Diceros bicornis minor: one gene and its partners. Each later gene encodes a partner of the first gene's protein in a complex. Links are inferred from orthologs where the notes say so. Each region holds a gene or a part of one and is shown in the gene's direction. Other genes may lie near its edges. The genes, in order: VIRMA, METTL3, CBLL1 and RBM15.

Region 1 (7,067 bases):
AATATTTTTTCTCATTCTGTAGATTGTCTTTTCACTCTCTTGATAGTGTCATTTGATGCATAAAAGTTTTTAATTTTGAAGTCCAATTTTATTTGTATTTTATTGCTCATGTTTTTTGTGTCATAGCTAAGAATCCAAATCCCAGGTAATGAAGATTTACCCATGTTTTCTTCTAAGAGTTTTATGGTTTTAGCTCTTACATTTAGGTCCTCGATCAATTTTGAGTTCATTTTTATATATTGTATGAGGTAAGGGTCCAACTTCATTCTTTTGCATGTAGATATCCAGTGCCATTTATTGAAGAGATTATTCCTTCCCCATTGAATGGCCTGGGCACCCTTGTTGAAAATCAGTTCACCATATATGTAAAGGTTTATTCTGGACTCTTTTTAATTTTATTTATTTATTTATTATTTTCCCCCCAAGCCCCAGTAGATAGTTGTATGTCATAGCTGCACATCCTTCTAGTTGCTGTATGTGGGACACAGCCTCAGCATGGCCGGAGAAGCCGTGCGTTGGTGCGCGCCCGGGATCCGAACCTGGGCCGCCAGCAGCGGAGTGTGCGCACCCAACCGCTAAGCCACGGGGCCGGCCCTGGACTCTTAATTCTATTGCATTTGTCTATATGTTTGTCCTTATGCCATTACCACAGTTTTGATTACTGTAGTTTTGTAGTAAGTTTTGAAAAAAGGAAGTGTGTATCCTCTAAATTTTTTTTTCAAGATAGTTTTGGCTATTTAGGGCCCTTTGCAATTCCATATGAATTTGAGGATCAGATTTTCCATTTCTGGAAAAAAAAAAAGGAGGGGCTGTTAGAATTTTGATAGGGATTGCATTGAATTTGTAGATTTATTTGGGTAATATTGTCATCTTAACAATATTAAGTCTTCCAGTCCATGAACGTGGAATGTTTTCCCATTTATTTAAGTCTTCTTTAATTTTTTCAGCAACAATTTGTTTTTCAGTGTATAAGTCTTTCACCTCCATGGTTAAATTTATTCCTAAGGCATTTTATTCTTTTGGATGCTATTGTAACTGTATGTAGGTTTTTTTGTGTGTGTGTGAGGAGATCAGCCCTGTGCTAACATCCGCCAATCCTCCTCTTTTTTTTTGCTGAGGAAGACGGCCCTGGGCTAACATCTGTGCCCATCTTCCTCCACTTTATATGGGACGCCGCCACAGCATGGCTTGCCAAGCAGTGCGTCGGTGCGCGCCCAGGATCCGAACCAGCGAACCCCGGGCCGCCGCAGCGGAGCGGGCGCACTTAACCGCTTGCACCACCGGGCCGGCCCCCTGTATGTAGGTTTTTGAAAGCCATACCTAGGGGGTCATACTCAAAACAGAGAAACCATGTAAGCAAGGGCACAGTGATGTGAAATACCTCTTGAGGGAGGGAGCCATATCTAGCTGGGAATGGCTGAATCACCTAAGTGGTGTGATAGGGACAAGGCGAAAGAGTGAGCAAGGAGAAGTGAATTTCAAGCCCTACATACTAAGGTGATAGATAGCCAGTCAGGGATTTGAGGCTCTCCCAGAAGTCTGGTTAATACCTTCTCTCTTCTTTGGTCCCCTACATGTCTTTCTGCCTTCTCAATCATAGCTGATGATCTCATTGAGACAATAGAAACTGTCAAAAAGGAATTTCCTCATTTCCCCATTACTAAATCATTACTCCCATTGGCATGTTTACCCATGGACCTCCTTGCCCCTGGTTACCAAGGAGCAGGTATTCTTTCTAGCAAAGGTCACTTTATATTTGGCCACCAGGTACCACCCCTCCCACCTACTCAATACTTTGCTGTTTCAGATTCCCTCGCTCTCTTCATCATCAATGTTTCTCTCTCCATTGCTTCATTCCCATCAGTCTACATGCTCTGTTATCACCCATCTTAAAGACACTCTTTCTTGACTCCACGTCCCCCCATTTAACAACCACTTCATTTCTTTGTTCTATGCAACAAAAGTTCTTGAAAGAGTCTATAAAAGTTTTCTTTACTCCTAAATTCTTTTTTTCTCTACTCAATTCTTATTCATCATTTAAAATTTTATTTTTTAATACGTACAGTAATATATGTACATGGAAATAGATTCTCTTTATTTCTGTACCTTTAGCCATCTAGTTCCCCTCCCTGGAGGCAACAACTATTACCAGTTTCTTGCATAATTCTTTCAGAGATAGTCTATAAATTCAAATATACATATAGTATATACATACAACAGAAAGAGTGAAACCTAATGTAAACTAAGGCTTTAGTTAATAACAATGTATCACCACTGGTTCATCAATTGTAACAAATGTACCATGTTAATGCAAGATATTCATAATAGGAGAATCCTTGAACAGTGGGAAAAGGGGCTATATGGAAACTCTCCGTACTAGCTGCTCAATTTCCCAAAAAACTAAAACTGCTCTAAAAATAGTTTATTATTAAAGGAAAAAAGCTACTTCACACTACTCTTAGGTCAAAAAGAAAATCAAAGCTAAGAAAATCAGACTATGTAAAAAACACCAATAATAAAAGCACTACATTGTGTATTAGTTACAGTTAAAGCAGAACTTAGGGAAATGTTAGTAGACACAAATATATATAGTACTAAATAAGAAATATGAATATAAATAACTTAAGCATCACTATAGAAATTTGAAAAAGAACAGCTATGTACATGTAGACTAAAGAAAGCAGAAAGAAGGAATTAGTAAATTCAAAAGCAGAAACTGAAGAATCAAAAAATAGACAAATTTAGCTAATAGAGGAAACAGGATGGCTGAGGAAGGGGGTAGATGGGACAGTTACTTTAAAAATTTAAAAATTAATTTATTATTAAATATTTCAGACATACTGAAACGTACAAACAATAACGTAAAGCACACCTGTGAAACCACCACGAACCTAAAGAATAAAATCTTATCAAAGCACTTGAAGCCCCTGTACACTTCTTGGTCACATCTCCCTCCAGTTCACCACTATCTTGAAATTTTAGGGTTTATCACTCCAAGGCATTTCTTTATAATTTTATAACATATATGCCCTTAAAAAGTTATATTATTTTACATTTATATAAATGCCATTTTATACTACATATTCTTCAACCTGTTTGCTTAACCCTTTGCTTAACATGTTAGTAGATACAGCACTAGTTCATTATTTCTACCTGCTGTATACTATGACATTGCATAAACATACCACAGTTTACTTATTACTTGTTGTTAATGACAATCAAGTTTACAGCTTTTTTGCAACCATTAATGTTGCCATGAACATTATTGTAGCTGTAGGTATTTCTTTGAGCACATGTACAAGAATTTTCCCAGAAGGGGAGCAGGCACGTATAATTTTACTAGATAATTCCTAACTGCTCTCCCAAGCACCTGCGCCAATTAAGACTACCAAACTGTTCAAGTTGCTCCAATGCTCATCAACAGGGAGAAAAGGAGACTGACTTTTCCCTCTACATTTTTATTGTTCATGGTATTTCACGTCATACAATTTCTCGAATTTTATTTCAATACATCCTCACAATAAGCCTGTGGGTTAGGTATTATGATGCACAAGTCGCATTTTGCAGGAGAAAACAAAAAATCTCTTGGTTTTGAGACAACAGTTTCTTTTTTTCTTCTTTTTTAAAAAAATTCGTACTTTACAGTCTCGCTCATTGCACCTTTTTCCTGCCAGCCCTAGAAAGGCTGCTTGCTGGCGGGTTCACTAGGCTGGGTATCCAGAGTTGGCAGCGCTCTCCATCCCTCCTCCACCCTCCCCAAAGCCAGCTCTGCACTCTGCCACCGGGAGCCCATCGCGGCTCTATAACGCGGTAGAACGACGAGGTTTGGACCACTGGAGACTCCGTAGTCCCCTGCTTTCCTCTCTTGGCCTCTCTCGGCGCTCTGAGGGCGCCCTCCGCCGCGCTGGAGAAGGCGGGGCCGGCGACACCGGGCAGCACTTCGCGTCAGGATAGGCTGAGGCTTGCGGCGCTAGCGCTCTGGCAACCGGAAGTACGGCGGTCTCTGCCTCTCCTGAGCCGCTGTCGCCGAGGTTGGAGGGCTGCCCCGGAAGTCCTCCCCCTGCTCCCGCCCGCGGCAAACATGGCGGTGGACTCGGCGATGGAGCTGCTATTTTTAGATACTTTTAAACACCCGAGCGCTGAGGTAAGGCTTGGGGGCTTGATTCTGACCGTGCCTCTCGACTTGGAGACCCTTACAAAACATCGTTAGGCGTGCCTCGGCTTTTCCTCCTGTCGATTGCCGCTTTAATTCCTCCCATACACACCCCCTCCCCCAGCTTGGGTGTGGGCAGTGGGGCTGAGGGAGCGCAGCGGCGGCCTCCTCACTGCCCTGCGGGATCTTAGGCCCCCGCGTCTTTGGTTGACTCGGCTGCTCTGCTTGCTTTGCTCTTTTTTGTTTGTTTGTTCCTGTCAGCTTTGGGCCTTGAAATGGATCATGGTTCTCAGGTTGACCTCAGGTGGTGTTTGGGAGGGGTCTTGGACAGCTTGTGTTTGACAGTAGTGCAAGTGGCCGAGCAGGTCACGACGGCTTCCTGGTCCTAAGTCCCTTCTCCTAGGTCCCTTTTCTAACGGGACTTCTGTTGCACAGATGTGACACTCATTCGGTTTGGGATCGCGGCGTTCTCCAGTTTGTCCTGAAACTTTAATACTTTTGGCAAGATTGTACACGTTAGAACATGAAATGCTTACACGGAAGTCCTTTGCGTGGAGAATACTTGTTGGGAAGAGGGGCGGATTGAGAGGATTGTAGTCAGACTGCAAAGCACAGTTGTATTGTCTTTTTGAGGAGCGAGGGTGAGGTGTTGGGAGCGCCTCTGAACGTATGACTGACTTTGCTGTATGTCAGTTGAATATAGATAGTTAATTAAAGGTTCCCGAAAGCCGGCCAGAAATGAACATTAACGAAGTCCACAGAGAAATTTAAAAACCCCCAGAATTCACATTTCTGTTCCGATATGTAGACTTAATCAATTTGGAGAACTATTTTTTCTTCCGAGATAGTGATGGTAGTGAGTTGTGGTTGTATCTTAATGCTTTACTTGGCAAAATCAAAAGTTGACAACCTTGGTCTTATAATTATTTTAACGAATGGTTTATAGGTCTGTAAAAATCGAAAGTTTGGAAACGTTAGCTTATCTTACTAATAGTGAATTCATTTGTGGTCTCTCATTTCATGTGGGTCAATTAGCTCTGTTTGTTCAATGACCATACTTTTCTGACCGTAATTCCAGCTAGGCTTTAGAAAACTCACAATGGAGACAGTAGTTGGATAAGAACAAATCTATCATGTGTACAGAAATAGAGAAAAGTTAAAAATGAAAGAAAAAAGGATATGATGAGTTAGGTTAGTAGTATTCTAGTTTAGAAAAATTGGCATTCATTCACTTATCATATCTTTAAGAATTTAGTATTTCTTCATTCATTCTTAGACATACATTGAGGATGTCCAGAGGATAGAACTAGTAGTAAATACCTTCTTCTGGCAGTGATTGGGGAAGGCTTAGTAGAGATCACGTTTAAATTGAGTCTTGAAAGAGGAGTAGGGGTTTGTGGGGAATATGGAATATTAAGATATTTGTTCTCATGGAGTTTATAACTAAGTATTGGAGATTAGGTCCACAAAATTATAATTCAAGTTAGAATGTGATGAGTATGTAAAGAGACAGAATGAGAATTCCTTGGGGTTTGTCACCTTTATTTCCCAAATGCCCATCAGTGTCTGACATATTGGGACCTCAGTTAATATTTATTTAGCTCCCTTTGGTGGTAAAAGTAAAGGCTATGTGATTTCAGAGGAGGGAGAGATCACTCTTCATTTCAGAGTATCAGGGAAGACTTCATCAAGGCAATTGGCATATGAACTTGGTCTTGGCTGGAATAGGGTTTGTTCCTCAGTCATAGATAGGAAAGGAGGGCATTCTGCTGGAGTAGTCAGTCCTCTGTAGGCTATGCCGAAAGCAGCAGTGTGAAGTGGCACCTGAAGGGCAGTTTGAAGCCAGATCATGGAGTTCCTTGAATGCTCAGCAAAGGAATATGGACTTTATCTTACAGGACATGAGTAGGTTTTTCAGCAGGCAAATTATATGATTAGTAAAATACATTAGTTAGATTAATTTATCAGTAATACCTAAAATGGTTCAGAAAAATTAGAGGTAACAAATCAAGAAGATGAGATGTAATGAAAGCTTGAGTTAACGAATGGGCAGTAATCATTGTTAGCATTTATTGAATGCTTATTTTGTGCAAGACACAGTGCTTTGGTAATTTAAATACATTATCTCTAATCCTTCCATCAGTTTTGAAAGATAGTTGTTCTCATTTTATAGGTAAGGAGACTGAGCATGATAGGTTAGGTGACTTTCCTAAAGTGGCATAGCTGGATTAAGACACACCAACACACATTTTCTGGCTCTAAATTTGTGCCATGCTGTGTCCAGTGGGACTAAGTAGGAAGGGATAGGTACAAGATAAATTTTGGATATAGAATTGACAGGATAGCAACTGATGGTGTGAGGGAGAAAGAGTGCAGTCAGCCTTCCGTAACTGGGGGATTGGTTCCAGGACTCCCTGAGGATACCAAAATTCCTGGATGCTCAAGTCCCTGTAGTTGGCCCTCAGTATCCACGGGTTCTGCATCCACGGATTCAACCAACCAGCCGCGGTTGGAAAATACCACATATGGTGAGGTATACATTTAGGAGGGGGAATACAAATAAAACAGAAAAAACAAAACCCATTGCCCTTGCTTTCAAAGGAATTTGTAAACCGATGGGGAAGACAGACATTTATTCAGTTTTCACAAGGAGAATACTGAAAGGGTTTGAGTGGTGCTAAATGAATTACAAATTGTGATTGTGGTTTGTATGCCTCTTTTTTAAAAATAAAAAAATAACTATGTTATTTTAGTAAATTTCAATTTCTTTATAGAAAAATTAGAAAATACAGAAAAGCAAAGGCTTTCATAGTCCCACCTTTCTTAGTCCCAGCTATCATTGACAGCTTTCCTTAATTTTTTCCCAAATCCTCCCAAATATATATAAATATATATATATGTGTGTGTATATATA
Region 2 (7,580 bases), on another chromosome or scaffold:
AGTCCTCTTTGGCAGGTACAGAGATGTGCTGCTTCAGAGATGTCACTTCAGGAAAGAACTGGTTATCGAGCTGAAAGAAACCTGGATAGCTGACGGCCTCCAGCTCTTCTGCTGTTCTGCAGCCCCTGGCCAAAGACTGAGCAAAGCGGTGGGTGGTACAGGGGCTTAGTCATTCCCTTGGAACATGGGACTCTAATGAGCAATTTTTGCTCTGGAACTCCCCATTGGGCTGGCAGAAACTTTGTCAGATCTGCATCATAGTCTGACAGCTCTCCCTGCCCAATCCCATTTTCTCCCCCTTTACCTTTTACAATTGTTACTCCCCAATAAAACTTTTGGACTCCTAATTCCGTTTCAGCACCTGCTCCTTAGAGATTTCAACCTGTGTCACCCCTGAAAAAGGCCTAGATATTATTGGCACATTTTCATCTCTCACAAACTCCTGCTTCTGGGGCTTTGGTTACTGTCCCTGCAACTTCTTAGTAAACCAAAGAACCCCTGTCTCCTGATCCCCAAGATAGACTTCATTAGTGTTGCTCTCAATTAGACCCAACTTTGACTTCCCTTTACATTTCTTTGTGTTTTCTATTGTTTAATAACTGATTGACTAACCCAATGGACATTTTGCTTTTGATCATATAATAAGAAACAGTAAGGAGAAAAACTTAAGGGAAAAAAACATTTGGCCAAAGAACCAAATAAAAAGTTTTGGTCAGTATTGTGGATGTTTCAGCAATCCATTGCTGTGTAACAAACCATCCCAAAACTTAGTGTCTTAATAATTATGTCTTTGCTTGTGATTCCATGGTTTGTTAGGCAGGCCTGAGCTAGGATGGCTTGTCAATGTTCCACGTGATGAGGGCTGAGCTCACTCAGGCAGTTTCGATTTGGGCTGGAGGATCCAAGACGGCTTTACTCACTTCTGGCCGCTCAGCTGAATGGCTGGAATATTGGAGCCTCTCTCCTTATAGTCTTTCATTCTCCAGGGCCTCTTTCCTTTCGAAGTCTTTCAATCTCTAGGATATCTCTCTTCCTCTCTCTCTCTTTTTAAGTGGTCTATCTATCAGGATAACTGGACTTCCATGAAGGCTCAGGTCTCCAAGAAGACAAAAGCAGAAGCTACAAGGCCTGTTAAGGCCTAGGCTCTGAAACCCAAAGAATATCATTTCTGCCACATTCTGTTGGCCAAAGCTAGTCAGAAGGCCAGCTCAGATTCAAGAGGAGGGGAAATCAGCTTTACCTCTTAAAGGGAAGAGTGACAAAGTCAGACTGCATAGGGCACGTGGGGTGGGAGGACTTGTGGCTAACTCTGGAAACAGTCTACCACAGCAGATATGAGGAAAAGTTAAGAAATGCAATGCATGCAGCATCATCTGCTCACAATGAGATTTACACTCTTTCTGGACTAGAAGAGGTCTGGGTGAGGTTCCTTTTTCCTCTCTGCACTGCTCAGGGTTGTATGCAGACTGACTAAGAGTGGGGACATAAGAAAGCAGTGGCTTGCTTTTTTTTTTTTTTTTTGAGGATGATTAGCCCTGAGCTAACATCTGTTGCCAATCTTCCTCTTTTTCTCCCCAAAATCCCAGCACATAGTTGTATATCCTACTTGTAGGTCCTTCTGTTTCCTCTATGTGGGACACCGCCTCAGCATGGCTTGACGAGTGGTGAGTAGGTCTGCGGCCAGGATCCAAACCGGTGAACCTGGGCTGCCGAAGGGGAATGCATGAACTTAACTGCTACGCCACCTAGCCAGCCCCCAGCAGTGGCTTTCTTTTGAGCAGAAAACTGGTCATGAGGAATCTGGAAAGAATCCCTCTATAAGCAGATCATGCTAAGTGGCCCTCCTGTGCTCCTAAAGTTTGCCTAATTTACTAAGTTGTAATAATTTACCCAAAGTGAATGTGAAAGCAAAGACTTCTGGGAGCTGCCCTTGATTTGATTGACTTTCAGGAGCACCCATGTTACTTCTTGGGCTTCCTTTGTAGGTGAGAGGAGGCAATCCAGGCCTTAGGTATCCCAAATTCTACCAGAGACTGAATCTTTTCCACTAGAAAAGCCTTCCTTTCCTAGACAAAAATGCTTATATTATTGGGGGGTTGACCTGCAGAATTCTGTCTTTACGATAAATCAACCCCCTTCATTTTCTGCAAGGCTATATCCAGTACTCTCTTTCTCCCCCAAGACTATTTAATTTTACTGCTATATAATTTCTATAAATTTCATTTCTATGTGTTAAGGACCTTGAAAGATATAGTGATCTTATAACAAATGAGGGATTCAGATTTGTCAACAATTAACTCTAATAGTGCTATAATATAGCAATAATGGGATTATCTTACTCCATTAATCATACATGTATCTAAACATAGGGCCACACAGGATACATCCCAAATGAGAGAACAAAAGCATCCTTCTCAACTTTCTTGAGGGCAGTTGCTAAACCGAGGTTATTAAAGGAGGCAAAAACCCTCAGGTAGAGCAGTCCCCTTGAGTAGTCTTCCATGATCTCACATTAGCCAACTATCCCAAGAGTATTTCAGCTGAGGAAGATACCATTTTTGCTTCTAATTACATGTAGTCCTGAGACTTAAATGTCTAGAGATGTTCATGTGAGCCCATATTCATTTCCATATCCTTTTCTTCAAGGCTCATATACAAAGTTACACATCTCAAAAGATAGTGTGAATTACCTAGTAAGTAAATTAAATTCAGAAAATGAGATGGAAATGAATATTTTTATTACTACTAAATCTCCACAGTACCTAGCACATAGTAGTCACTCAATAAATATTTGCTGAATGGATGAAACTGCCACTTCCAATACACATACATACATCTTTCCTCTCAATAGCCTCCCTTCATATTCACCCCTTCCTTCCCATTATTATCCATAACTAGCTTCTGAGTTAATTAAAGGTCCTATCATCAAACAGTTACAATAGGTTACCAACCATTTTCCCTATCTCTAACTCTCCTTCCTCCCCATCTCAAACCAACTAGAACAGTAGATTAATCTTAAAACACTCCCTATTCACAAACCTTAAATTATTCCCTGTTGTATTCTTTTTTTTTTTTATAATTTTATTTATTTTTTTCCCCCAAAGCCCTAGTAGATAGTTATATGTCATAGCTGCACATCCTTCTAGTTGCTGTATGTGGGACTCAGCCTCAGCATGGCCACAGAAGCGGGGCGTCAGTGTGCGCCCGGAATCCAAATCCAAGCCGCCAGCAGCGGAGTGCACGCACTTAACCGCTGAACCACAGGGCCAGCCCATTTCCCCTGTTGTACTCTGAATAAGTTGCAAGCTCTTTACTCAGGTAACATGTACCTTTTGCAATCTGGCCTCAAATATGGAAACATAAATATCCTCCCAAATTCCCAAATATAATTCTCTATGTTCTAGCAAACTAACCTGGATTAGCAGGACATACAACTTGCTTTCCTAACTCTAGCATAGACCTTTGCTTTTATCATGTCATTGGCCTGGAATTCTCTCCTATAGCTTCAGTGAAGCTATAGCTGTCACTTCAAGCCTGAACCTTGATGCCACCTTCTTTCCAATGCCTTCCGTGGTCATCTTGGCTTGGAGTCCTCCTCCTCTTTGCAGTGACATTTATTTGTTAAAGCCTATGCTCACGCTGCCTTATGCTGTAAAGATGGTTTGATATTAATAAGCTGGGTCTTAGTTTCTTTACCAGAAGAGAAATGCTCTGAAAACCAGAGCCATGCCTTTTCAAGCTATTCTTTCTGACACAGTGTTTGGCATCATGTAGCCATTTGATAAATCAATGGTTCCCAAATACTTCCATTCAGAGAACCCCATTTAAAAAAATAAAAAACGAAAAACTTTTGTATTTAAAAGTTTATTACACATACAGAGAAGTGCACATACCAAAATGTTTGGCTCAATTAATTTTCATAAACAACATACTCATGCATCCAGCTCCCAGAGTAAGAAACGCAATGGAACCACAACCTCAGAAACCCCTCTAGTGCCTCCTTATGAGGACTTTATTTTAATGTATTACATATCATACTTGTAGATTTGGTGTAAGTAAGAAGAGTGAGAATATGTAGTTGTAGACCCCTTATAATATCTCTGCTCCATCATTCCTCGTTCTCTCTCAAAGAAGCACAGATACAAACGCACACACCCATAGACTGGAAACCAATGTAATAGCTATATCTTTGTAAATGAATGCATGGAAACATAAACCTACAACATCTTCAGTGGAAAAAGTATATTAGTATCAAACTGTCAAAAGGAATGAGTGATCCTTCGTTTCAAAAATCTGTACGACACGTGCTGCTCTACGTGTACGTTCACAACCCAGCTCAACTCACAGGACTCCCCTCTTGTATTTATAACATGGCCGCATGCGCGTCTACAAGCAACATGGCCGCTCTGCCAGGCACCAACATGGCAACCACAGCCTCACCGCACCCGGAAGCACGCGAGAGTTCCAATAAAAAATACATCCGCCATTCTGCCAACACCTAAGGCGGCTCTCTTTTGAGCTTCAAAGAGAGTGCGAAGCCGGAAATGACCTTTCCATCTAGCGCATCTCCCGGGATTTCTTTCCGGTTAGCCTTGGGTGTCCGCGTGAGAATTGGGTATTTCCTGGAGCTGGGACTGGGAGGTGCTAGTTCGCCGCGCTTGATTCGAGACGTGTCTGGGTCTGGAGACTAGGATGTCGGACACGTGGAGCTCTATCCAGGCCCACAAAAAGCAGCTGGATTCGCTGCGAGAGAGGCTGCAGCGGAGGCGGAAGCAGGACTCGGGGCACTTGGGTGAGGCGCGGGGCTGTCGGGGCCGATGCTTACCCGGGGAGGGCGGGAGGGAACCCTGGAGAAAAAGACAGCTCCTGAGTCGGTGCCGTTCCCCAAGCGGCCTTTTCTGTAACACCCCGTGCGTTGGTGCTCTTCTCCTCCCCCTCAGCAGCACAGACGCCGCGCCCTCCGGCAAGTAGTCGCGGTTCCTTCCCACCTCGGGACGTGGTACGCCCAGTTCTCTTTCCCGGGACGGGCGCCCCGGCCCCACCCCCGTCCTCCTTACTGACTCCTAAGTCTACCAGATCGTCGCCTTTACTAAGACCTCTCAGCTACCTACCCCTCGAAGCAGCAGGTCCCCTTTTTGTTGCTCCCATGGCGCTTTGTTCTTCCCTCGGTTATAGCTACTACTTTGTACTGGTCATTTCTTTGCGACTATGGACACCGTGAGAGCAAGGACTGAACCTTTATATCCACAGCGCCCAGGTCAGTGGCCCTCGGTGTTGCTAAATGAGTAGAGGAACTGGCATTGTCTTTAGGTATTTACATACCGAGCAGGAATCTGAAAATATTTGTTTTTTGCTTTTAAACTTTTTCTCCCCTCCCGTTGCCCGCTATGTCACAGTCAAAACTTGAAGGAACCTCAAAAGATTGTCAACTCCTGCCCACCCCCTGTCGCCAGTACAAGCCCTGAATTATTTAAGGCAAATCAACTATAAAGATCTGCAAGGATAGTGAATCCAAACCACCCTTGTGGTAGCTTGTTCCAATGTTTAGTAGTATACTCGAGTCCATCTCTAAATCTTGTGTTAATACATATGAGGCCCGTGTGCTCATATTGTGGCCCCTGGAACTAGAAGATGCCCTGGCAGGACTCTGACACCATAATAAATAAACATCTATTGAGTATCTACAGTGTGCATGAGTTCCAGTTAGACAAAAATAAGTAAGATATTGTCCCTGCCCTCGAGGAGTTTGAAATTTAGTTGAGGATAAAGGATTAATACTTAAAAAAAGTTAGAAATACAATATGATATATGTAAAATGCCAAATGAATGAGTCCACAATGAGTTCAGTGAAGGGAGAGGTAGCAAGAGTTGGTTTAGTCAGTGAAGGCATCGGGGAGGAGTTGGCACTTGGAATTTGGTCTTCAGGGCTGTATAGGACTTAGATAATTACAGAGAAGTTAAGAGGGCAGGGTGAGTAGAGGAAGAAGTGCAAGTCGTATGATCAGGGATTAATTAGCAGTCAAGCATTGGAGTAGTTACTGAATTACCCAAGAGGGAGAATTTTTTTCTTGATAATATAAACTTCAGTTCCTTTGATGTCTTGTTGTAGATTCAATTTTCTGGTTTTTTCTTATTCTTTGGTTTCCTCTGTTTCTAAGACTTTTATTTTATGCAAATCAGTTTTAGACAGAAAATATAACACAGTTACGTCTCTGTCATAGACAAATGACCCAGTTGCTTCTTGATTTATCACAGACTTCTGTTACTGGGCTTAAGTACCTCATCAACTTTTTCAAATACAGCATTCTGGAAGAAATGATTGAGTCATTTCTCCCTATATATGTGTGTTCCTGAAAAATTGCTTCTGCAAAAGCCTGCATTAAAAATAGCAGGGCTTATAGAAGAAATAGCTTTAGAAGAAGCCTGTTCAAAACCTCTGTAACTTTGTTACTAGAGCCCTTACAATATTCTACTAAAAATGCTAGCATAGTTAAATCTCCACTGGTGTTTCTACCTATAATGAAAGTCATTCCATCCCCACAGCCTATATACCCTGGGGCTCCTACTTCCTGCTTCCATCCAGCAGTCTTGTTTTTGTTTAACCAAGGGAAATGCCTTTGCAGTTTATTCATCTGAACTTGTAGCTTCCCAGATAGGTTAACATAGTGCAAAGTGTAGCACTTCTTGAAGCCACTAAACCAGACACTTCTATTTTTTAAAAGGCATTTCTGTAGGATTCTCACCTTTTTTCCTTAAGGTATTCATGTGTTTTTGAAGTTTTTTCTTTAACTGTGAGAAAATTTGCCCCTGACCACTTCAGAACATTAACATGATGAGAAAAAATCATGTATGAACCAGCAAGTTTTCCATGTTATTCTGACATTCCCTTATTTATTAATTGCATATGAGCTGATTTGCATTGAATAAATACATTGTAGGAAATCAGATTTTACTTGGATAATATTTGAGAGAAGTCAGAGACATCTGTTCTGTGGACTGTGTTGTAGAGGTCCTCCAGGTGGTCATCAGGTAAACAACAGTGGGATGTGGGCTATCCGGATGAGTTGCTCAATCAGCAGAAAAGAAGAGGGGCTAATGGTTCCATTCATTTATAACTAGAAACTCACCAATTTACTACATTTGGACACTGTAGGTTATTCAGTTTTCAATGTACGTTATTTTAGTAGGAGGTAATGTAGCCTTGTTCTGTCACCTCCCCATATTCTCCACATGGATAGGCTGTCACTGCATTTTAGTACCCTCGGCCTCTTGCAGTGTAGAAAGATGTAAAGCCTTGGGTAAGTGCATTTCTTCTAGGAATATTTATTTAATTTGAGTATGGAGTAATTTGTTTTCCCTTCAGCAATGGCAATTGGAAAAGGGGACCTGAGGATTCAAGTAGTTGTTTGCTTTAACAAAGTGATCTACAGAGTTAATTTTTTAAAAACCACTATATCAGTGTACTACATCATTGACTACTTTGTGTTCAGCTTTTTCTGTCATTTTTGTGACAAATGACATCTTTTATCTGTAGTTTGTGGGTTTTTTTAATTCCTTAACAAGTTTATAATTATTCCTCA
Region 3 (7,853 bases), on another chromosome or scaffold:
AGACTTATTCTTGAGTTTCCTGGCATTCTTTGGTCTTGGATATCTATCTTCTTCCTTATCATCTCTTTGCACAGCCACACAAGGATTAAGTCCTCCCAGTGCTAAGATTTATCCTTTTGCTCAGACATTTCTAGAATAGTATAAGCTTTTCAAAACACCATGGGAGATATAAAATAGAGATTTTCAAACTTAAATTCCAAGCCATTAGTGTACTTTGACATTTTAGTGAATCATAACCAGCATTGTTTTTAAAGGGACAGACTAGAAATAGCAGAGAGCACTGCATACAGTAAGGCTAAGTATAGTTTCATGATACTTATATGTATGTATATGCATTTGTGTTAATGTACTTGGCTATGATGTAAAATATATTTCTGATAGTGAGAGACATTTATTTAAACAGTAACAGGGCCTATTTACAAACCAAGTATACCAGGGAAACCTGAAAATCCCTTCCAACTGGCATGGAGTGGCAGCTGGGGATAGGGTCAGGAAGCCCTTGGACTAAAGCTTTCTCAAGTCTAGGAAACAGTATCACAGACTGCTTGCTTACAGCAGTTTACTACCCTAAGCATTCTTTCAGGTGTGAGCTGAATAGAAACGTAAGGAGAAGAAACAAGGCAATTTTCTCTAGCAGAGGAGCTGCAGGGAGGGGCAAGAGGTATCCACCTCAAAGGATACACACTGCAAAATGTCATTCTCAGAAGAGAAGGAAGGCTGCAGGCCCTCTCTAGATCAAAGGACTCCTATCCAAATGAGTACGTATATTGCCAGGCCTCAAAGGATGAGTAGGGAAATGTCTTCAACCTGCAGTGTTCAGTCCTTGTAGTCTTTACTTCCTCCTTATTCCGTGAATCTGTCTCTTGCCCAGTTTTTGATAGTGTTTGGAAAGCCGGCTGCCATACTTGATAAGGCTTGGCTATGGTAATACGCTAGGGCTCAGTTTCAAGAGCTGGTAGAGAGAGGAGGAAGCTGGGACTACGTGGGGCTGGAGTTAAGCTTGCTAACCCAGCTCGAGGGCAGATCACTCAATTGACTCCAACATAGAGAAGTCAAAGAGCCTTGCTTTGAGTCTGCATCAGCAGGCTAATAAGTCCAAAGCAGCCCTAGTGACCCTATCTTCAAAACCTATCTCCAAACCATTTCTATAGGTAATAATAATGAAATTGCAGCAAACATTTAATAGTCATTTAATAATGTGCCAGCTGCTATGTTATCTCATTTAATTTTCATTATCACCTTAAGAAGCAATGAATATAGTAACACCATTTACCAGCTTACTGTGTGCCAGAGGGTGCCAAATGCTTTTCATAGATAACAACATTTAGTTCTCTCAACCACCCTAAAGGTAGGTACTATTATCCCCATTTTACAAATGAAGTGAGCCAGCCACAGAGATTAGGTAATATGCCTAAAGTCTCTGGTAAATGACAGTGCTGGGCTTGGAACCCACAGTCTTTAACTTCCAAGGCCATACATCTAACCACTACATTTCCACTGCCTTTCCCATCCTTTTCTACTTCTCAAACTTAATGTATAGTGGACACATTCCTGATCAGTTCTTCTCTAAGTAACAGTTCATGCATACCTGCCGGCGTTTCAGCCATCACAGAGGTCTCTGGCTTCCTGGTCAATTGTTCTTCTCTTACATTAGCAGTATTGAGCCACTCCCCCCTCCCGCCCCCCCAATTTAAGTTTTGCTCATTGGTTTTGAATATCTCTTGCTGAATTACGTTGTTTACATGAATACACCATGCTAGGTTTTGTTTATATGCGCCTTCTTAACTGTTACTCTGAAATCTTACTTTTCAAGGTTCTCTACAATCATACTTTATTTTTCAATACTCCCAAACATGGATCAACAGTACAAGTCAAGCTGATCACTGTCCTCAATAGAAGCTATAACAGTTCTCACCTCTGCACCCTTGCTCTTTCCTGTTTGATATGCCTCTTTCACTGCTCTCCACCTCTCCAAATCCTATCTGTTCATCAAGGTTCAGCTCAACCCCTCCGTAAAGCCTACCTAACTACTAAGTCCTACTGCTCATTATTGTCTCTGAATGGAGGTAGCACTGTATTCCCTCAAAACACTTCGAATTTAATCATATTTGTTTTAAATTATTTCTATAAATGCTAGCCTGTATGATCCTTCAGGTAGGGATCTTTATTTACCCAGTTCTTGCCTTCTGCAGTATCAGTGAGTACCGTGTGATACAACTGAAAGAGCATTAAGGAGATGAAGGTTATTGTCCTGATCTGGTCCTAAGGAGTCTCAAACAAACTCTTGGGGAAACAAGGCCTCTGACACAAAGCCTATTTTTCTCATAATGTAAACAGTGCTATACAAATGGAAAGCTATTAAGACACCTTCAAGAACATCAGCTTATAATTCATAGGCTATCAGATGGTCTGTCAGTAAGATGAAACTATGCACCTCAGGGCTTCAGATCATCCGTCACAACGACAGTTCATTTTTATAAACCTCAAGACAGTACCATGTTATAAAATAAATATGAAAGTCCACTTTCAGAAAAGAAAGTGTGACTGAGTACAGCACACGGGTCACCAACAATGGATACCAGAGTGCAGTAATAAAATATAAGTCTATGTACAGTGTCACTTATCAATTTAGGCAAAGGGATTAATTTGTCACACTGCTGCCACTGCACTGGTAAAGTGAGGCAACTACAGTTAAGGGGAAATGGATATAGAGCACAGAGGCTAGAGCAATGCATGAAAGCAACAGGTGTCAAATGAAATCAGCAAATGTTTATCGAACATTTTATCAACAGGAAATCTAAAATAAGTGAGTTTTCCCTCAGTAAATTTTCAGAACTTGATGCACCATAAAATGCTGACAAAACTTCTGACTTACAGATTAAATTATGTAAAATACAGTCTGAAGGCTCTTTTTTATTCTAATTCTTTACATATTAGAATCAGCAGACACTAACAATATTATTCTGAACCTGGATTTGCATCAATCTGAAGTATGGCTGACAGGCTAAATATGAGAATAGAAAAAATAAAAAGAGCACTTCCTTCTTTCTTTTACAACCCAAATTGGTGAAAAAATACCCAATCATATCAACACTGTCTTTAGAGAAACAGGAAAGTATGGGAGAAAGGTTAAGTTTCCCCCAACCTCCAAACCAAAAAATAAGCCCAGCAATTGAAAGCATCTTGAAAACCACTTAGTAACACAGAAATTTACATTTTGACAACAGTAGGGTTAACTTTGATTCACAATTGTCTTTAATTGTGAACGTACCTAAAAACTTGTTTACAAAGCGGCAGAGTGGGAAAGTCTTTTAAAACACTCCAGTAACATATTCACCAAATAACACAGAACACTTATAGTACTGATCCTATTACTCAAAGCTGTTACTATACAACCATACAGATGTAGCACATCGTTGCACACACTTTATTCGGAATTCAGTACCGTGAAAACGTTTCTATAGGAGGTCAATACAATCACTTCTTGTCGATCTAATAACACTGGCACTGAAAGTGTGAATAACCCAAGGTAATGATGTCGTCACCAAGGGACGACAAGAATAGAACCCAAATCCCTTGACTCCCAAGCTTGTGTTTTCCACTAATTGTGCTCCTTTCTTCTCATCCGAGAGCATCAAGTGTAAAAGGTTGGAGAAGGCAGTGGACGCAAATGCGCCGAGTTCACGCGCTGGAGGCGGCACTGAAGGTCCCCAGGAATCACCCTTTGGCACTTTTCTTTTGTTTTGGCTGAGGACGATGAAAGCAGCGGCAACCACAAACCCCTGGGACCAAGAACTGGAACTAGGTACTGCCTGTTGCGGTAACTCTCTCTTCCTCATTTCGGGCCTTTCCTTTTCAGCCTCTCCCTTCCGGCAGCCCTCAGCTCTGCGTGCGCCGCTCCGCGTCTACCCGCTCCTTCTCTCCGCTCTGCACTCCACCGCCCGCGGGGCCCTAGCAAGACGGCTGCGCCGCTCGCGCCCTCCCGCCAGCCCCGCGTCCAGTCCTCGGGAGAGGTGTGCTGGGGGTCCCTAGCACAGGCGTTTTCTCTAGAAAAGGAGTGCTACTTAAGCATTATAAACATGTTTCAACTGTTAGAAACTTAAGCGCTGGGAACGGGGGCAGATACCAAGTCTGCTCTGCGTGGGTCTGTGTAGCTCGTCACGACAAAGCAAAGTCGAGCCTTTCTTTCTGGCTGGGAGCTCCACGCAGATCAGCATCCCCTGGGCAACCTCCCACTGGAGGACGCCTTTCGGAGCGCGCGTGTTTACACTTTTCCTAGACCGCGGGGGAGGAGACAGCGCCTGCCCACTCTGGGGGATTCCAAACCGTTACTCCGCCCGCCCGGGTGAGGCCAGCCCAACGGCCGAGCCTGCGCAGTAGGCGCGGCCGGCTCCAGGGCCCCGGCGCACTACAAGTCCCAGAAGGCAACGCTCCATGGGGGCGGGCGGCCGCCTTACCTGTCGCAAGCTTATTCCTCCGGCTACTACTGCTCTCCCTCTCCCCCGTTCCCGAGGGTCTCTCTCCACAGTTAAAAGGCTTCTTTCTCTCGAAGCACGTGAAAAGAAACCTTAGTAACCTCGACATCAAAGCTCTTCGCGTACTCGCTCTTTCTTCTTCTGCCCGAACTATGCCTGACTCCCTCACCGCAGTTGTGTAGCGGACGCCAGAGAAGGAGGCCCTGGCAGGCTAAAGCCCGGGCAACCTGGTCACACTTCCGCCTGGCGGGCTCCGAAAGGTAGCGCGCACGCGCTGGCTGCGACTCCGGCGCAGTTGATTTCCGCTCCCACTGTGCCCTGCGAGCCGAATCATGGATCACACTGGTAAGGAGGCGGAGGCAGTGGGGGTCTCGGTTCCATGCCCCCTTGGCCAGCCTGGGACTGGTCGCCCAGCAGGCATAGAGGGGTTACCCTCGCCCTACAGCACTGGGGTGTGGCGGTGAGAAAGAAATCGCACAGAGCTTTGCCCGCGCCCGGCAAGGGCCTGCTACTTCCCGGCCTACTCTCCGGCGTGATACCCACAGCCTCCGTGCCGGCAACAGCCTCTTCTTCTCTGGTTCTGCTGAGCTCCGAGCTGGGACGGCGGGCGGCGCGGGCCCGTGGGGAGGAGAGAGCTGGCTCTTCTCTTCTTCCTCCCGGGCGCTCTGCCCTACGTATGGGTACTGGCGGGTAGATTTCCAGTTTCGGAATGGGGGAAGCCTCCTTACGGTGGGAGTCGATGCGCGAGAGTGGGTTGGAGACTTCCTGCTGCCTTAGTCGGCTTTGGGCGGGTGCTGCGCTGCTCACCGCCGGTCTTTATTGTCTGTCCGGTCCTTTATGGACTAGAGGTGGGAGAATGGGGTCGAATATGGTTTTCGGAATCATACTCGGAGCAGCTTTTCTGCCTAAGCGCAAAGCATGCCCCGCGCTTCGGCTGTGGTCCTTACGCATCATTTGGGGACATTTACAAAGGAGAGCTTAAAATTAAGATATTCTTTTCTCCAAGTAAGAATGGCTCCACTCTTTGTTATGTGTTTTTTAGCTTTTGCTTTCTTGTGGTTTTTGGATGTTGAGTGAGTGCGCTTGCAGTTAGAAAGTGCTCTGTACAGTTATACGAGCTATATCACAAGTAGGGAAAAAAGGCTTTTTCTTGTATTAAGTATTGGTTAAGATATCCTTAGTTCATATATCTACTTAATTGTATAATTATGTATATGTAATGAGTGCTAGTCAACATGTAACTTATAGCATGTGCTGAATATCTGCAGACCTGGAAATGGAATGATGGAATGGTAAATAAGACGGACTGAGTCCTTGTCCCCATGAAAATTACATTTTATTGGGGAAGACACAATAGACAGGTTTTAAAATTTTTATTTATTTATTTTTTTCCCCCAAAGCCCCAGTAGATAGTTGTATGTCATAGCTGCACATCCTTCCAGTTGCTGTATGTGGGACGGGGCCTCAGCATGGCCAGAGAAGTGGTGCGTTGGTGTGCACCCGGGATCCGAACACAGGCCACCAGCAGCGGACCGGGAGCACTTAACTGCTAAGCCACCGGGCCAGCCCGATAGACAGGTTTTAAAAAACCTAAATGTTTACAGGTTGTGATGAGTGCTTTGAAGAAAATAAACGGGTGCTGTGGTAAAGACTAATTGGAGGAAGGTTAAGAGAGGATAGTCAGGGAAGGTCTCTCTGGAAAGGTAACATTTATAGCTGAGATCTGATGGATGAGAAGAACCTAGCCATGGAATAAATCAGGAGGAAAGCATTTCCAGCCAAGTACAGTCGTTCCTAGTTTTCTCCACGGGCGGATTGGTTCCAGGACCCCTCAACCGATACCAAAATCCGCGCACACTCAACACCCTTAGTCCTCCCTTGTTTCCCGGGATTCTGCTTCCGCAGATTCAGCCAACCGCGGGTCATAAACATAAGCACCTACAGGATCCACAGTTGGTTGAATCTGGGGGTGTGGAATTCTCAAATATGAAGGGCAGACTGTACAAAGACTCTGAAGTAGGAAAAGAAGAGTCTGAAGTAGACCAGTTGGCTGCAGCTTTAATTAGCATGAGGGAAAGAGCCCTGGGATGAGATTGGAAAGGAAGGCAGGAGTCAGGTTGTGTAAGACTTTGAAGGCCGTGGTAAAGTTTTGAATTTTATGTTAAGTGCCATATGAAGCCTTTGAACAGAAGTAGAGGAGGAACATAATCTCTCTTAAAAATATAATAGGTTGTTCTATGGAGAATGGTATAAGAGAGGGAGGAAAGAATAATAGAAAATAGACAGTTTAGGAGGTGGATGCAGTAGACCAGAAGGGAGTCTTGACTTAGTGAAGGTAGCTTGGTTTAGTGAAAAGGGGACTGGCAGATTCAATAAACATTTTGGTGTAGAACTCAAAACACTTGCTGATGGATTTGTTCAGAAGTATGTTAAAGAAAGGAGAGACGCCTGGATTTCTGGCATCTCTTTTTGAGCAGCTAGGTTAGTGCCCTTTACTAAGTTGGGGAAAACTTGGGGAGAAAAAGAGGCTTTTCTTTTTTTTTAAGGTGTAGAGGTGGGAATTGGGAAACAAGATTTTGGACTGCTAAGTATGAGATGTATATTGAGACATACAAGGGGAGATGTCAAGTGGCAATCAAAGGAAAGATCTGGGACTTAGTACCACATAGGTAATATTTTAAGGCATGAGAATGGATGATGAGATCACTTAAGGAAAGGGAATACAGAAGAGAAGAGGGCCTAGAAAGAACCAGGCTCTGAGGAACTTTGGTGTTTGGAAATTTTATAGAATTGAACTTCTGCAATCTTGATGTTAGAGTAGCAAACATTCAATGTTAGCAAAATATTTCTCATTTGAGCCTATTACTGGAATTGGGAGTCAAGCCCCTTCCACAGTTTAGAGGATGTTATGTTAGGAAATTGTAATATGGGTGGGTGTGTATCTGAATATTTAGTATCCTGCTTCTTTAAGTTAAAAGGTTGCCTAAGAAAATAAGTCATCCTAACGTGAAAATATTCACTAATGAGCTGATCACTTAAAAAATTAGTTCCTGGTCAGATATCCCTGCTCCTTAACATTAGTGTCTTTTCTATTCATTAGTTAATTTCATTATAAGTCAGTGTCTTTCATGTTTCATATCAGGAAACAGTATCAATGCTGTACATTGATTGTGATTACAAACCTTACAAAAGAATAAAGTTTTCATGACATTCATAAACGTGAATTTGATAACTATTTAAATCACAAATAAAATCATTGGCAAGTGAGGAAATGCCAGTTAGCCAGTTAATTGAAAACATTATGACAGGATAGGCATCTTAAAAGAATGATTTTAATATCAAAGAATTAAGAGAGACCCTTAGGGAAATTTACATAAC
Region 4 (7,305 bases), on another chromosome or scaffold:
CTATGGGTAAAATACACACTTTTTCTGCAGACAAAACAAATCTCACTGTCAGGAGACCACTCACTTTATGAAGGGAGATGAAACAGAAAATTTTAATCCACTATTGTGGGTGGGGAAAAAAATTTCAATTCCCTGCTTCAGGCCTTTTTGCATTTGCCAGGAAATCAAATGGCTCTCAACTCCTAAGATAAATTTCATATTGCAATCATAATTGTCTGTGTGTGTATTGAGGATACACAAACAATAAAACTGAGGAAGGAAGAGAGTGGAAAAAAGACATTTGATTGAAAACATACTGATATCTTTTAATTGCTCAGTTTTCTTCCATGTGCACAACTTTTATTTTGCTTTTCCCTTTTAAATCTAAAGCTGATTTTAAAGAAGATGACTTCATATAGAAAGCTGGTTGTGGCTGCTCTCCTGTTGGGCTGTGTCCTCTAGGGCCTTTGAGTTATACAGCTCCAGGGTGTCAACATTGATGCCAGAATGGGCTATGGTAGCTTTTCCTCAATGCTATTGCTTGGTTTTTGACAAGGCACTAAAAGAAGAGATCAGCATGCTGCTATGCTGCTCAGGGAATCTGTTGGTAGGTTAACTCTGTTTCCATGACCACCGAAAGATCCTCCTCACCCAAGTCAGCTGATCTCACAAATCTGGCCACAGATCACAAGGAGATCAGATGAAAGCTTGGACCAGACTTCAACAACTCCATCACCAACACCTGCAAAAGGGTTCCAGGTCCTGGTCCTCTAAACCATGGGTCACTTTTATCCTCTCTCAGCCCTCTCTAAAGCACATGGGTGAAAACAGGCTGATACAACCTCACTAAGCAGCTTCATACTTTAAAGAACACAAAGAAATAAAAACAAAATAAATCCTTTATTTTGACTACAGCATGGATCGACATATTGTCATTATTCAGTTCTGTCGTGCACACACTCACATACACATCACAGGCTATATTTTGGCTCCATTACTGATAATGGAATCCAGGCTTTTTCTGTCTACCCATTATATTACCAGTCCTCTTGACACCAGACATGCTATCAGTCCCCTTAGGCTGTAGCCAGCTATGGGCAGTAGCTTCCATCAAGCTCCCTGGTATTTCAAACAGTATGCCACTAAGCCTAGCAGAGCCTCAGGCTCTGCCACACATACTGGTACCAGCTTCCTGAATTCTTTCCCTCAACTCTTGTGCTCCCTTAATCCTTATCATGAGGTTTGGAAACTATACTGGTTTGGTCATTATCTTTTTATTTGATCAGTGAGTCACCTAAGCAGGCCAATTTAGGCCAAAATTAGTCACTCTGGAGTCTGGTTTATTTGGATTGGCTATTACATTAAGATAATAGCTTAGCTTTAATTTTGTGTTGTATTAATATAACCCTGAAATAGATTAAACCCTCCTAACTATGTAAAGCTTTTTCTTTGAGTGTTTTGTGCTCTTACAAACAATGTATTGGTGGTTGTTGGTTTTTTCTATCCCCTAGCATCCAGATTTTTATCTTTAAATATCATTTCCCACTGAAAGGAACCAGAGCTCTTCGGAGAAATGACTGATTCTGTGTCTGGCCCAAGAAATGTACCAGATAAGCCTGGAACAAAATAATGAAGAGGAGGAAGAGCAGGAAGAGAGTGTAGATGAGAAAAGACTGACATAAGTTGATAATTGTTGAAATTGGGTGTTGGATACATGGGAGCTCTTTATAGTATTCTACTTTTGTGTGTGTGTATATATATATATATATATTTGTGCGTGTGTGTGAGGAAGATCAGCCCTGAGCTAACATCCATGCTAATCCTCCTCTTTTTGCTGAGGAAGACCGGCTCTGAGCTAACATCTATTGCCAATTCTCCTCCTTTTTTTTCCCCCCAAAGCCCCAGTAGATAGTTGTATGTCATAGTTGCACATCCTTCTAGTTGCTGCATGTGGGACGCGGCCTCAGCATGGCCAGAGAAGCAGTGCGTCAGTGCACGCCCGGGATCTGAACCCGGGCCGCCAGTAGCGGAGTGGGCACACTTAACCGCTAAGCCACCGGGCCAGCCCTAATTTTGTATATTTTTTACTTTTTCCATAAAAAATAGTTTTTAAGGGGGTCGGCCTGGTGGCATAGTGGTTAAGTACACGCACTCAGCTTCAGTGGCTGGGGTTTGCAGATTCGAATCCCAGGTTTGGACCTACACACCACTTATCAAGCCATGCTGTGGCAGGTGTCCCACATAAAATAGAGGAAGATGGGCATGGACGGTAGCCCAAGGCCAATCTTCCTCAGCAAAAAAAGAAGAGGATTGGCAACAGATGTTAGCTCAGGGCTAATCTTCCTTACACACACACACACACACAAAGTTTTTAAGGAAAGCTAAAAATAATTTCTATTTTTAAAAAATGAAACAGTCATAGCATGCACATGGTAAAACAAGTTTTCTTTTAATAATGCATAAATATGGCATACAATGAAAAGTTGAGTTTCCCAACCAGACCCTCAACCCGCCTAGCCTGATCTTAGTAACAACTTCCCAAGTATTCTCCATGAAGTTTCTACTAATATATATAGAAAATATATGTATATACACATATATATCATTTGTAAAAACCACAAATGGTAGCATATTATACATTGTTCTATGCTTTATGAAGTTTTATTTTAATAGCTAGTTTTAATACAACGAGAATGTGTACACACTACAACACTGTGGACTTTTATGCTTTTACATATTGGGCTTCTTTCAAGCTTTTTTGATATAATCAATAGATAAAAGGCCCACATCTTCACCTTCCTCAAGATTATTTAGAAAGAGAAGGATGGCTAAGGCAGGGCTAAAGAGGTTGCAGTCTCTAATCTTAAAATAGTTTTCAAGCTTAGGTTTCAGCTTTCCGGACACTATAGTTATCTTGAAAAATGTCATGTTTTAAAAACATCTCACTGTGCTGGCCTGGTGGCATAGAGGCTAAGTGCGCACACTCCAATTCAGCGGCCTGGGGTTCGGATCCTGGGCGCTCAGTGACACACCACTTGTCAAGCCATGCTGTGGCATGTCCCATACAGACTGGAGGAAGATGGAATGGATGTTAGCCCAGGGCCAATCTTCCTCAGCAAAAAGAGGAGGATGGGCGACAGATACTAGCTCAGGGCTGATCTTCCTCACACACACAAAAAACAAAAAACAAAATAAAAACATCTCACATTCTCTACTACATATCAGACCTCGAGAGGTGGTTGAGGAGAGGATCAACACAAGAACCCTCATAATCTCTGCCCAATCCTCACAACCTCTGCCAGGAGGACACCTGGGAGGACTGCAGAAAGCCTTATCCTAACTGCTGTGATGAACTGGGCACTACCTTCCTGCACCAGACGGTACGTACCTCTTCTAATCTCGGTATCACCAGCACCTCGCACAGGTGCTTTATTGTCTGACACAAGAAAGGTCTCTGGAAAGAACGAAAGTTGGGTTTTTGAAGCGAGAATGATTGAGGGAGCCAAAAGAAGTGGATTTAGAGAGACAGCAAGGCGGCTGTGCCACTGGCTTCTAATACAGAATATAACCGGAGGTGCCGGCAAGGACAAGAAGCCACAGAAAAAAAAATGCATGGAGCGTAAATGTCACTCGATCATTTAACTGGGAGCGGCATTACGTATAAATAAACACACAGGTATACTATGGGACGACAAAATCCAAAATCCACTTGAATTCGCAACATAGATCAGGAAGTCCAGACACTTCCGCGGTGGCCCGCCCGTCCCGGCCACTCTCGCGGGCTGGGAGAACCTGGGAAAGTCGGTCACTCCCCTCGGTTACCCGGGGTACTTGGGCGGGAACCGGGAGCGCCAGAGACCTGGGCTCCGGAGCGAGCGCTGCGTGGCTTCCTACCCGCGGGACCCCGAGCCCGCGCCCAGCCTCTGCGCCGCCCCGGGGCGTTGGTGTGAACTGTGAACTCGCGGCCAGGCCTGCCCGTCGCCCCAGGGACCGCAGGCGGCGCCCTCGCGCGCAGGAGCGGGTGGGGCTTTTTCAGGCTGTTCACACTGGGGCGAGGTGGACTAACACGGTGTGTGCCGGATGCCCTGGGACGGCTGCCTGAGGGATTCCCGGGCCCCGACAGCCGGAGGCCCTGCCCAGCCAGCCCCTTGTCCTGCACAGGTAGGAAGTGGGGAGCCCAGTTTCGAACTCCGACGGCCGAAGCACAGCCAAGTACGCCGCGGGACCGAACAAATGTTTGAGAAGAGAACGCCGACAGCCCGAGCAGGCGGAACAGACTCGTGATCACCGTCTCGCGACGTCTAAGTGACGTCACACAGCAAGCGCGTGTTCTACCCTTTCACCTTCAGCCTCCTCAGTATATGGACCTACCCCTTTAAGCTAGTGATAGACAGTTATTTCAGCCTATCAACGTCCTCATCGATATCCAATCAGATTTAAACTTCTGTCAGCCGCCGGAGGAGTTGGAAGAAGGGGGTCGAAAGAGGGAGCGCTCTCTCTCTCGCGAGATCATTGTAAGCCGGCCTTTCAGAAAAAAACGCCAGAACAGATGGCCGGACTTCCCAAATAGTCAGTTAAAAGACGGGGTCACAAACCAATGAAAGGGATGAGGAAGTGGGATCACTGCTTTCACCGCGCAAGAAGTACCGTTACAGGGCAGACTTTTTGTCCAATCAACGCCTCCAGACTTTGGGTCAAGTGACCATAGAGTGCAAGGGGCGGAGCTACAGCCTGGCGCGAGGAACCGTTAAGATGGACAACGAGTAGGACCAATGAGGTACTCTGACTAGGGCGTTGGGAACCCAATAACAGTGGACGGGCGGGCGCCTTCCCCGAGCGCGGGGAGATGTGAAGACAGACAAACAGTTTTCCCAATGAGACTGTAGAGGAGAAGTGCTAATTGACCAATGAGGACGACGGGGCGGGAGCCTTTGCCGCGGCGGAGTCCAAGATGGCGGCGTGCGGTTCCGCTGTGTGAAACGAGCGCGGGGCGGCGGGTTCATCTGCTCCGCGGAGACGACCTCCGACGGCCCGCAACAATGAAGGGGAAGGAGCGCTCCCCAGTCAAGCCCAAACGCTCGCGTGGTGGCGAGGACTCGACTTCCCGCGGGGAGCGGAGCAAGAAGTTAGGGGGCTCTGGTGGCAGCAATGGGAGCAGCAGCGGAAAGACCGACAGCGGCGGTGGGTCGCGGCGCAGCCTTCATCTGGACAAGTCCAGCAGCCGAGGGGGCAGCCGCGAGTATGACACTGGTGGGGGCAGCTCCAGTAGCCGCTTGCACAGTTACAGCTCCCCAAGCACCAAAAATTCCTCGGGCGGGGGCGAGTCGCGCAGCAGCTCCCGGGGTGGAGGCGGGGAGTCACGTTCCTCTGGGGCCGCCTCCTCAGCTCCCGGCGGCGGGGACGGCGGGGAATACAAGACGCTGAAGATAAGCGAGTTGGGGTCCCAGCTGAGTGACGAAGCAGTGGAGGACGGACTGTTTCACGAGTTCAAACGCTTCGGTGATGTAAGTGTCAAAATCAGTCATCTCTCGGGTTCTAGCAGCGGGGATGAGCGAGTAGCCTTTGTGAACTTCCGGCGGCCAGAGGACGCGCGGGCGGCCAAGCATGCCAGAGGCCGCCTGGTGCTCTATGACCGGCCCCTGAAGATAGAAGCGGTGTATGTGAGCCGGCGCCGCAGCCGCTCCCCTTTAGACAAAGATGCTTATCCTCCGTCAGCCAGCGTGGTCGGGGCCTCTGTAGGTGGTCACCGGCACCCCCCTGGAGGAGGTGGTGGAGGCCAGAGATCACTTTCACCTGGTGGCGCAGCCTTGGGATACAGAGACTACCGGTTGCAGCAGTTGGCTCTTGGCCGCCTGCCCCCTCCACCTCCGCCACCATTGCCCCGAGAGCTAGAGCGGGAGCGAGACTACCCGTTCTATGAGAGAGTGCGTCCTGCATACAGTCTTGAGCCGAGGGTGGGAGCTGGAGCAGGTGCTGCTCCTTTCAGAGAAGTGGATGAGATCTCACCCGAGGATGATCAGCGAGCTAACCGGACGCTTTTCTTGGGCAACCTAGACATCACTGTGACAGAGAGTGATCTAAGAAGGGCTTTTGACCGCTTTGGAGTCATCACAGAAGTAGACATCAAAAGGCCTTCTCGGGGCCAGACCAGTACCTATGGCTTTCTCAAATTTGAGAACCTAGACATGTCTCATCGGGCCAAACTAGCAATGTCTGGCAAAATTATAATTCGGAATCCTATCAAAATTGGTTATGGTAAAGCTACACCCACCACCCGCCTCTGGGTGGGTGGCCTGGGACCTTGGGTGCCTCTTGCTGCCCTGGCACGAGAGTTTGACCGATTTGGCACCATCCGCACCATAGACTACCGCAAAGGTGATAGTTGGGCATATATCCAATATGAAAGCCTGGATGCAGCTCATGCTGCCTGGACCCATATGCGGGGCTTCCCACTCGGTGGCCCAGATCGCCGCCTTAGAGTAGACTTTGCAGACACAGAACATCGTTACCAGCAGCAGTATCTGCAGCCTCTGCCGTTAACTCATTATGAACTGGTAACAGATGCTTTTGGACATCGGGCACCTGACCCTTTGAGGGGTGCTCGGGATAGGACACCACCCTTACTATACAGAGATCGTGATAGAGACCTTTATCCTGATTCTGATTGGGTGCCACCCCCACCCCCAGTCCGTGAACGCAGCACTCGGACTGCAGCCACTGCTGTGCCTGCTTATGAGCCACTGGACAGCCTGGATCGCAGGCGGGATGGCTGGTCCTTGGACCGGGACAGAGGTGAGCGAGATCTACCCAGCAGCAGAGACCAGCCTAGGAAGCGAAGGCTGCCTGAGGAGAGTGGGGGGCGGCATCTGGATAGGTCCCCTGAGAGCGACCGTCCACGAAAACGTCACTGTGCTCCTTCTCCTGACCGCAGTCCAGAATTGAGCAGTAGCCGGGATCGCTACAACAGTGACAATGATCGATCTTCCCGTCTTCTCTTGGAAAGGGCCTCTCCAATCAGAGACAGACGAGGTAGTTTGGAGAAAAGCCAAGGTGACAAGCGAGACCGTAAAAACTCAGCATCAGCTGAACGGGATAGGAAGCACCGGACGACTGCTCCCACTGAAGGAAAAAGCCCTCTGAAAAAAGAAGACCGGTCTGATGGGAGTGCAGCAAGCACCAGCACTGCTTCATCGAAGCTGAAGTCTCCTTCCCAGAAACAGGATGGCGGGACAGCCCCTGCAGCAGCAGCCTCTCCCAAACTCTGTTTGGCCTGGCAGGGCATGCTTCTATTGAAGAACAGCAACTTTCCTTCCAACATGCATTTGT

Evidence for each region.
Region 2: VIRMA (region 1) and METTL3 share a complex: the UniProt entries of both Homo sapiens proteins name them as parts of the WMM complex. The link is inferred for Diceros bicornis minor from reciprocal best matches to the Homo sapiens genes VIRMA and METTL3.
Region 3: VIRMA (region 1) and CBLL1 share a complex: the UniProt entries of both Homo sapiens proteins name them as parts of the WMM complex. The link is inferred for Diceros bicornis minor from reciprocal best matches to the Homo sapiens genes VIRMA and CBLL1.
Region 4: VIRMA (region 1) and RBM15 share a complex: the UniProt entries of both Homo sapiens proteins name them as parts of the WMM complex. The link is inferred for Diceros bicornis minor from reciprocal best matches to the Homo sapiens genes VIRMA and RBM15.

The regions. Positions count from the first base shown.
Region 1 is NC_080760.1:13,777,983-13,785,049, reverse strand, and holds the start of VIRMA (protein virilizer homolog), read left to right. Parts: upstream 1-4,050; 5' UTR 4,051-4,081; coding exon 4,082-4,144; intron 4,145-7,067. UniProt on the Homo sapiens protein: Associated component of the WMM complex, a complex that mediates N6-methyladenosine (m6A) methylation of RNAs, a modification that plays a role in the efficiency of mRNA splicing and RNA processing.
Region 2 is NC_080744.1:27,854,459-27,862,038, forward strand, and holds the start of METTL3 (N6-adenosine-methyltransferase catalytic subunit), read left to right. Parts: upstream 1-4,560; 5' UTR 4,561-4,692; coding exon 4,693-4,792; intron 4,793-7,580. UniProt on the Homo sapiens protein: The METTL3-METTL14 heterodimer forms a N6-methyltransferase complex that methylates adenosine residues at the N(6) position of some RNAs and regulates various processes such as the circadian clock, differentiation of embryonic and hematopoietic stem cells, cortical neurogenesis, response to DNA damage, differentiation of T-cells and primary miRNA processing.
Region 3 is NC_080742.1:10,751,805-10,759,657, reverse strand, and holds the start of CBLL1 (E3 ubiquitin-protein ligase Hakai), read left to right. Parts: upstream 1-4,845; 5' UTR 4,846-4,854; coding exon 4,855-5,155; intron 5,156-7,853. UniProt on the Homo sapiens protein: E3 ubiquitin-protein ligase that mediates ubiquitination of several tyrosine-phosphorylated Src substrates, including CDH1, CTTN and DOK1. Targets CDH1 for endocytosis and degradation.
Region 4 is NC_080743.1:43,362,880-43,370,184, forward strand, and holds the start of RBM15 (RNA-binding protein 15), read left to right. Parts: upstream 1-4,305; 5' UTR 4,306-4,886; coding exon 4,887-7,305. UniProt on the Homo sapiens protein: RNA-binding protein that acts as a key regulator of N6-methyladenosine (m6A) methylation of RNAs, thereby regulating different processes, such as hematopoietic cell homeostasis, alternative splicing of mRNAs and X chromosome inactivation mediated by Xist RNA.